Kluyveromyces lactis: one gene and its partners. The protein of the gene in region 1 interacts with the protein of each later gene in a biochemical or structural test. Links are inferred from orthologs where the notes say so. Each region holds a gene or a part of one and is shown in the gene's direction. Other genes may lie near its edges. The genes, in order: UBC1, APC11 and UBA1.

Evidence for each region.
Region 2: the proteins of UBC1 (region 1) and APC11 form a complex in vitro, tested with the Saccharomyces cerevisiae proteins (3 studies listed by BioGRID). The link is inferred for Kluyveromyces lactis from reciprocal best matches to the Saccharomyces cerevisiae genes UBC1 and APC11.
Region 3: of the proteins of UBC1 (region 1) and UBA1, one has a biochemical effect on the other in vitro, tested with the Saccharomyces cerevisiae proteins (5 studies listed by BioGRID, with this or other methods). The link is inferred for Kluyveromyces lactis from reciprocal best matches to the Saccharomyces cerevisiae genes UBC1 and UBA1.

Annotation. Positions count from the first base shown.
Region 1 is NC_006039.1:1,653,396-1,656,088, forward strand, and holds UBC1 (E2 ubiquitin-conjugating protein UBC1), read left to right. Parts: upstream 1-1,391; coding exon 1,392-2,078; downstream 2,079-2,693. Other genes in the region: KLLA0_C18634g (CDC50/LEM3 family protein), read left to right, coding at 1-1,060; YCT1 (Yct1p), read right to left, coding at 2,340-2,693.
Region 2 is NC_006041.1:1,570,513-1,572,951, reverse strand, and holds APC11 (anaphase promoting complex subunit 11), read left to right. Parts: upstream 1-1,445; coding exon 1,446-1,934; downstream 1,935-2,439. Other genes in the region: KLLA0_E17733g (glutaredoxin), read left to right, coding at 593-1,228. UniProt on the Saccharomyces cerevisiae protein: Probably catalytic subunit of the anaphase promoting complex/cyclosome (APC/C), a cell cycle-regulated E3 ubiquitin-protein ligase complex that controls progression through mitosis and the G1 phase of the cell cycle.
Region 3 is NC_006038.1:1,252,778-1,257,036, reverse strand, and holds the start of UBA1 (E1 ubiquitin-activating protein UBA1), read left to right. Parts: upstream 1-1,381; coding exon 1,382-4,259. Other genes in the region: HOC1 (alpha-1,6-mannosyltransferase), read right to left, coding at 1-44; Ran GTPase-binding protein MOG1, read right to left, coding at 254-847.

The DNA of each region.
Region 1 (2,693 bases):
ATTGAAAGCATGGCAGCCGATCTTATCCCCACAGTCAGTTCTCCCGCTATTGATTATAGTAGCGGCTATCTTTGCACCAATCGGAATCGGGCTCATAATAACTGTCAATAACGTTCAAAATTTAAGTATCGACTACAGTGATTGTCGGACGCTAGCTGGAGGGAGTTATATTAACATCCCATCGAAATATGTGAGATACCACTTCAAGGGTAAGCCATCTGCTGCTCCCCAATGGAAAGTGAACTCAGCAGATGGTATAACCAAGTGCTACCTAAAGTTTGAAGTTCCAAACGATATTAAGAAATCTATTTACATCTATTACAAATTGACCAACTTTTACCAAAACCACAGAAAGTACGTTTCTTCGTTTGATATCAGGCAATTAAAAGGTGAAGCAGTGGATACTGATGACTTAGTCAGTGAGTGTAAACCGCTCAAGGAATCTGACGGTAAGGCGATATATCCATGCGGTTTAATCGCTAATTCCCTCTTTAACGATACCATTTCATTATCCTTGAACAACACGTCTAACGAAAACGACTCATATGAGTTAACGAACAAGGGAATTTCATGGAGTACCGATAGGAAGAGGTACAAGAAGACGAAATACAACGCTTCTCAGATAGTGCCTCCTCCAAATTGGAGTAAAAAATACCCAGACGGTTATACTGATGATAATATTCCAGACGTTTCAACATGGGAAGAACTACAAGTATGGATGAGAACTGCAGGTCTACCCAAGTTCTATAAACTAGCTGCAAAAAACGAAACTAGCACGTTGAAAAAGGGTACTTACGAAACCACTGTCGAGTTAAATTATCCAGTACAGATCTTTGGAGGAAGTAAATCTTACATCTTGACAACAAATAGTATTATCGGTGGCAGAAACATGTCGCTAGGGATAGTATACCTTATCGTGGCCGGTATTGCAATCTTGTTCGGTGTAATATTTGTCATTAAATTGATTATCACTCCAAGAAAGATGGGAGATCACACATTCTTGCACTTCGCGGAACAAGACGATGAAAGTCAACTTCCTGCTTCCTCTTCAACCACATAATACGTGAACCTTCTATCTAATATACACAACGAACCAGTATATACCAATGTACTATAATCTTATAGGTGATGTTTAACTCAGTTATGTTGAAAGGGAAACATGTCTTTGTTACCCTCATCACCAGTTTCTACTTCTTATATCAAATACCATTAACATTGATGATACTGTATGCAAACGATTGAACATCCATTAATGTATGGAAAGAAAAGATCATACATATATACGTGTGCTTATTCATAGTTATCACATCTTTCGAGAACGGTTTATTACACCCAATAACTGGAGCGGGTGCATTTGAAAGTGCCACTGAATTACCAATTAATCTAACAGGATGCTAAGGTCGAAGAGAATTTTGAAGGAAATCCAAGCGGTGAAAGAGGATCCAGAGGCCCAAATTGAGTTAAAGTTTGTCAATGAGTCTGATATCCATCATATGAAGGGCAGCTTCATTGGCCCTAGTGGAACGCCATACGAGGGAGGTAAATTCGTCGTTGATATAAATATACCCGTGGAATATCCGTATAAACCACCCCAAATGAAGTTTGACACAAAGGTGTACCATCCCAATGTATCATCTGTAACTGGTGCTATTTGCCTTGATATATTAAAGAATGCATGGACTCCAGTTATAACATTGAAATCTGCATTGATTTCTTTACAAGCTTTATTACAGTCACCGGAACCAAATGATCCACAGGATGCACAAGTTGCCAAACATTATTTGACTGACAAAAAATCCTTCGATGAGACTGCAGCATTATGGACAAGGACTTATGCTTCTAGTAACGGAGGGGATAATGGTACCAACAGTCTAGGCAAAGGTACCGAAGAGAATGTTCAAGAACTTGATGAAGCAGATCTGTACGGAATTGATCAAGATTTGGTGACGCAGTTTGTCAATCAAGGATTTGACAGACAAAACGTTATTGAAGTTTTAAAGAGGTTAAACATCAAGAGCATGAGCATGGAAGATAATGAAACTGCCAATAAAATCTTAGAAGAGCTTCTAAAAGAATAAGTGTTCCATGTCAAGAAGTTCAGACTTGAACATTTCAGGAAAGAAGGACAAGACAAGACACACACACACACACACTATCTCTCTTATAACCAAGAAGTGTGTTCATCATATATGAAACCGTATATATAAGTACTATTATTTGCTTTCTCTGTAATCAATTCCGGTATTATTAAAGTCAATTTAATATAAACACGATGCTACAATATGAAATGTCGCAACTGGATAATATATACATACACACACATATCGTCATTATTATTTTCACAATGGATAAATGAAAGTTTTATTCTCATGATCTGTTAAATCCAACATTGCGATGTTAGCTTTGATGCTTTCACCGTTGACTTCGATCAAACCGAACTTCTTTTCTTCAGCTTCCAAATTAATGGCTCTTTCTTGATTTCTCTTCCTTAGAATGTACCAGATGACGATTGCAATCGATGGAGCAATGGAGAACGATAGCACAATTTGAACGATCCATGCTGGGATGTATCTTGGGCCGTCCTTTTCTTGCCATAATTGAGGTGAAATTAAATTGGCAACACAGAAAAAGAACATCACTATGGCGTTTCTAGTCAATTTCTTTGTGTACCCTGAGCATGTTGTAGAATTCCA
Region 2 (2,439 bases), on another chromosome or scaffold:
CATAAATTGACGATGGGCCGAAGCGTTCCCAGCATCAAACATATTACAACTGCATGTTCTTTTTCATGTTCTTTCTAATTTTCTTTCCTGATTGTTCTTTAATTGAAGTTTAGAATACTGTTTTAACAACTGATCTTATCGTTCATTTTAATTCTAATACAGACTTTACCGCATATCATACTATAATATTTATAAAAACAATCATTAATTCAACAACATCTAATCTGCCCGCAAATTAAAATCTTACGCGTTATGTTTCCAGTAAATTTTCCGTTTTAAATATAAATATGCATATATTCAGGATAGCGGGTGGTATCTAGTATTATTTATACACTATTTATGCTTTAATGCGTCCGGCAAACCCATAGGTATTCCATCCTTTCCCCTGTTTCTTTAGTTCTCTCTTATTTATCGATGATACGGCTGTTGGTCAAGAATGAAATAGTGAAATTTCTTGCTATTTAAGAAATTGGTTCTTGTCACATACAACCTTAAAATGATGAAACAATATGAACAAGACACGTTAGATTTTGGACACACCGTCTGTCTACACTTTCATAGATTATCAGATCCCAGGCGTTGTTGAAACGAGATGTTGAGTAAGAGAAGTTTGAGGCTGGTAAGTCTCACCGGTATGGTGATTTTCGTTCTTTTCTTCATCAGGCACAATGCAGAGTCCGTGACGCGTTCTTACGTGGGGAAAGAATCTAGCAACCTCGCGAATGATGCCAAGGTCGAGAGTGACATCAACAATATCCAAGAAGGTATTGCTGAAACCAAGAGTAACGCGGTTGTTGCTGATACCAGCAACGCAGTTAAAAATATGGCTGGGCCCAACGGTGTGAAAGACTCTGATTTCGCTGCTGAAGTAGAAACATACAACGCTGAAGCTGAGTACAAGAATATCCTTTCTCAATCACCAATCGTGGTGTTTTCTAAGAGTTACTGTCCTTTCAGTACGAGGCTCAAGAACTTGTTGAAGGAGTATGAATTTGATCCAATTTATACTATCGTTGAATTGGATAAGCATGAGAATGGAGCTGAACTACAGAAATATATCGGTAGCAAGACAGGAAGGTCTACTGTTCCTAACGTTATTATCAATGGTATATCTCGTGGTGGTAGCGATGAATTTGCTGGATTACATGAGGATAATTCATTATTACAGAGCTTGAAGACATGGGCCGGATCTACTTTATCCGTGAAGAAAGCTGCTGCTGCGACTTAAAACTTGGCCTATAACATATATAAACATTCGTATACTATACTACAGTGGATCTGATCCCTTTATTAAATTTGTAATAGAACCTGTGACACTTTTATGCATATGGGTATAATATATTATAAGAAAGGATTAGATAGGAAGAATTGAAAACACAAAGACAGAACGAAGGGAACTGTGACGAGGATAAAGCCTGCGATAAGGATACTTCACCCGTGTTACTATGCGTATAGAGGTAACAGATGTCAGTCTAGTGAGCACTTGGGCGTGGGATATTCCCAAGGATTTATCGAAAGGGAAACATGGTGTTGCAGATCAAACGGTACATATGGAAAAATGGGAAGATATACAGAATGAAGATGAGGATGCAGAGAACGATGAAGAAGAATATGAAGTGTGTGGGATCTGTCGTAACCGGTACGATGCTACTTGCCCCTCCTGTGATTACCCTGGTAGCGGATGTCCAATTGTGTTAGGATTATGCAATCATAATTTCCATGTTCATTGTATCAAGCAATGGCTAAGTACTGAAACATCAAAAGGGTTGTGTCCCTTGTGTAGACAAGGATTCCAGTTGAGGCCTAACGTTCTGATAAATAAGATGCACCATGATGAGTTCCAGAAACTGTTGATGAGTGTGAGACAGCACAACATTCCGATGGGTGGTGGTGAAATAGATCAAGATGTGATGGATGATGGCTTCATACGATGAAGGGAAGACTCGATATGCTGAAGATATGTGTGTGTACATCTATTTAATTGGTAATAGGATAGAGTAGTGGTTCAAATCATCAGTGATGGGCTAAGTATACTAGGTAGCGAGGCCATATTACAGGTGGTGTCTCTTGCTCACATGAGACAAAAAAGAAAATGCTTCCAACCAGAGTCGAACTGATGATCTCCACATTACTAGTGTGGCGCCTTACCAACTTGGCCATAGAAGCTGTTAATTTCTTGTTTGATGGGGTAAGAAAAACAACTACACCTGATACTTTTACAATCAGATGATCAAGCTCATGTGAGAATACACAACCACTGGTTCAATAAAAAAGGGCGATAAGCTAACCAGTATACTATTGTAAAATGGTATCGTGTTGCAGTCAATGTTTGTTCGTCAGTACACACGTCGATTGTACGTTGACCTACCGTTTCAGCAAGCCACGACCATGCGGTACCTATCGTGTGGCTTTTCCCCAAAAGCACTCTTATCACGTGAT
Region 3 (4,259 bases), on another chromosome or scaffold:
ATGGTGGCTATCCTTCTCCAGTTATTTCTCTTGCCCTTGGCCATCTTCACACGGATAGCGCAAGTTATGAACCACTAATCAACACCAGGGCTCCCGCTCGTAGTGATATACCGTTGAGAGTCTAGCTGATGGAGGAATAAGTATGTATTGTTTATCATTGATAATACCATTTCCATAGTTGAAACACTCATTCTTAAAGAAATTCATTACCCGGATATATAATTTACTATACTTTTACTATACCTGGTTTCGATCATGCAAATAACGATGGATCCTCCACTTTGAAGCTCGAGATCATGTCCCGAAGCAACGAATAGGACGCGTGCACCCTTTGAGGTAGCTTTTCCGGTGAGTTTTGCGCAATTGCCTGTTCCATGGCCTTCAGTTCTTGTTCCGATGAGATAGGCACGTGAACAGAAATGATGACGTCGGTATCGAATTGATCCAACCTGAGCAATGCAACACACATTACTACGGTTTCCTTCATCGATTGTTTGCCCCACTTGTATGCGGTCTCAACAACGATACATGTCTGTGATTTGAGTTCCGTTTGCTCTTGATGGTCAATTACTGTCCATTTCTGTGATCCGTTGAGTTCTGAAATTTCTGCCAAATGGATATCTAACGCTTTTCTGTCATTATTCTCTTCCACACGCTGCATTAGGTCTACGATCACACTTTCATCGAACCCGAGCCCATCCTCACTAGGTTCATTCTCACGTCTGCTATTCACGAACACTTCCTGTGTGTCTGGTACTTGCCTTAGCATTGAAGCATCAAGAAACGTCTTGGGAATGACGGTGCTGATGGCACCGCCGTACAATTCTTGTCTGATCCAATGGGACATGGAAAATTAGATATATAGGGTTGTCAGACTGTGGGTAGAGTAAACAATCGCGCTGTCCTTGCCAGTCGAAGTCTCTCCCTCTCTCTTTATCTCTTGAGAAGGACATCTCGTCTTCAAGGTAAGGGAAAATCAAATATCACATTTGACGAACATTCAAATATTATGTGGTGTGCTGGTGTAAATGCATTTATTGTATGCAATGATGGCTTCAAGCATGCCAAATGGGTTTAAATCAAGTGATTACTGTCTCGTATTAATTAATTATTTACGAAACAATTTATATGGGCTCTTGGAACCATACTATCACCTCAAATGCTTCACTTTCTGTCGTATTGTATTCGAACATCTTCCATTCATATCACGTGACTGAAAACTCAACCACTCACGTGACCGAACCCAAAGTGGCAAAAACCGAATTAATAAGGCCAACAACCTATAAACAACTACAAACCAGTTTCCTTAAAACAACAATAGCAACAAGAAGTGAACCGTTCGTTCATTTTGATCACATTGCATCACAAGTTAGTATCAGATATGACGAATATTAAGGTTGATGGCGAAGAAATTGACGAGAGCTTGTACTCTCGTCAATTGTACGTATTAGGTAAAGAAGCGATGTTAAAGATGCAACATTCGAACGTTTTGATCATTGGGTTAAAAGGTTTAGGTGTCGAGATTGCCAAGAACGTTGTCTTGGCCGGTGTTAAGTCTTTAACCCTTTATGATCCAAGCGCTGTCGCTTTACAGGATCTTTCTACGCAGTTTTTCCTGTCAGAACAAGATATTGGGCAAGCTAGAGATAAAGTATCACAGGCAAAATTAGCCGAATTAAACTCATACGTGCCAGTGAAGGTGCTAGAGGGGCTAGAAGACGTGTCACAATTGTCTGAATTCCAAGTAGTTGTTGTGACAGACACGATTTCACTAGAAGAAAAGGTGAAGTTGAATGAGTATACACACTCTCACGGTATCGGTTTCATTTCTACGGAGACCCGTGGGTTATTTGGTAACGTTTTCGTCGATTTAGGTGAAGAATTTACCGTTATTGATACTACTGGTGAAGAGCCAAAGACAGGTATTGTTTCTGATATCGAGTCGGATGGTACAGTGACCATGTTGGACGATAACAGACATGGGTTAGAAGATGGCAATTACGTCAAATTCTCCGAGGTGGAAGGTCTTGAGAAGTTGAATGATGGTACTCCTTACAAGGTCGAGGTGTTGGGTCCGTTCGCATTCAAGATTGGTTCTGTTAAGGATCTTGGTACATACAAGAAAGGTGGTCTGTTCACCGAGGTCAAGATGCCACAGAAATTAACGTTCAAGTCTTTAAGGGAATCTTTGGCAACACCAGAGTTCCTGTACTCGGATTTCGCCAAATTCGAGACTACTGCACAATTACACTTGGGTTTCCAGGCCCTACATCAGTTCCAAGTTAGACATCAAGGTGAATTGCCAAGGCCATTTTATGAAGAAGATTCTAATGAATTAGTTAAACTCGTTATAGATTTAGCTACACAACAACCTGAAGTGCTGGGTTCTGAGGGGAAAGTTGATGAAAAGCTCATCACAGAACTAGCTAACCAAGCAAGAGGTGATATTCCAGGTATCGTTGCTTTCTTCGGTGGTCTGGTTGCTCAAGAAGTGTTAAAGGCCTCCTCCGGTAAGTTCACTCCTATTAAACAGTACATGTATTTCGATTCCATCGAATCTCTACCAGATTCTGAAGATTTCCCAAGAAATGCAGATACCACGAAACCAATCAACTCTCGTTACGATAACCAAATTTCCGTATTCGGTTTGGAATTCCAAAAGAGAATCGCAAATTTGAAGGTATTCCTAGTGGGTTCAGGTGCGATCGGTTGTGAGATGCTCAAGAATTGGGCTTTACTAGGTTTGGCTTCTGGCCCTGAAGGTAAAATTATTGTTACCGACAATGACTCAATTGAAAAGTCGAATTTGAATCGTCAATTCTTGTTCAGACCAAAGGATGTCGGCAGAAATAAATCTGAAGTTGCTGCTGATGCTGTAAGTGCAATGAATCCTGATTTGAAGGGCAAGATCGAGCCAAAGATTGACAAAGTTGGTGCTGAAACAGAGAATATTTTCAACGATGCTTTTTGGAATCAATTAGACTTCGTTACCAACGCATTGGATAATGTGGATGCTCGTACCTATGTCGACCGTCGTTGTGTGTTCTACAAGAAACCTTTACTAGAATCGGGAACATTGGGGACAAAGGGTAATACACAAGTGGTTATCCCTAACCTGACAGAATCTTATTCATCTTCAAGAGACCCTCCTGAAAAGTCAATCCCATTGTGTACATTGCGTTCATTCCCTAATAAGATTGATCACACTATCGCTTGGGCCAAATCCCTATTCCAAGGCTACTTCTCTGACGCAGCTGAAAATGTTAACCTATACTTGACGCAACCAAACTTCGTAGAACAAACTTTGAAACAAGCCCCAGATGCCAAAGGTATCTTAGAATCAATTAGTGATTGTCTAAACAATAGACCTTACAACTTTGAAGATTGTGTCAAATGGGCAAGATTAGAATTTGAAAAGAAGTTTAGTTATGATATCCAACAGTTTCTTTACAACTTCCCTAAGGATGCAACAACATCCACCGGGGAGCCATTCTGGTCTGGTCCAAAGCGTGCCCCTGAACCATTAGTCTTCAATATCGAAAACCCAGATCACTTCCACTTCATCGTTGCATCTGCTAACTTGCGTGCGTTCAATTATGGTCTAAAGGGAGATGATGGTAAACCAGACATTAACTACTATCAATCCGTCCTATCAAAGCTTATAGTTCCTGAATTTATTCCAAAAGCTGACATCAAAATTCAAACCAATGACGATGAACCAGATCCAAACGCGAACAACCAGCTTGGTGGCGATGTCTTAGAAAACTTGGCAGCTTCTTTGCCAGATGCTTCTACCTTAGCTGGTTTCCAACTAATCCCAGTTGAATTTGAAAAGGATGACGATACAAACCATCATATTGAGTTCATTACTGCTGCATCGAACAACCGTGCTCTAAACTACTCTATCGAACCAGCTGATCGTCAAAAGACTAAGTTCATTGCTGGCCGTATCATTCCTGCCATCGCTACAACCACTGCTTTGGTTACAGGATTGGTCAACCTAGAACTATACAAAGTCGTCGCTGGAAAGACAGATATTGAACAATACAAGAACGGGTTTGTGAATTTAGCTCTTCCATTTTTCGGTTTCTCAGAACCAATCGCATCACAAAAGGGTAAATACAATGATAAGACTTTCGATAAAATATGGGATAGATTCGATATTCAAGGTGATATCACATTAAGAGAGTTGATTGATCACTTCAACAAGGAAGAAGGATTGGAAATTACAATGGTCTCCTACGATGTTTCTTTACTAT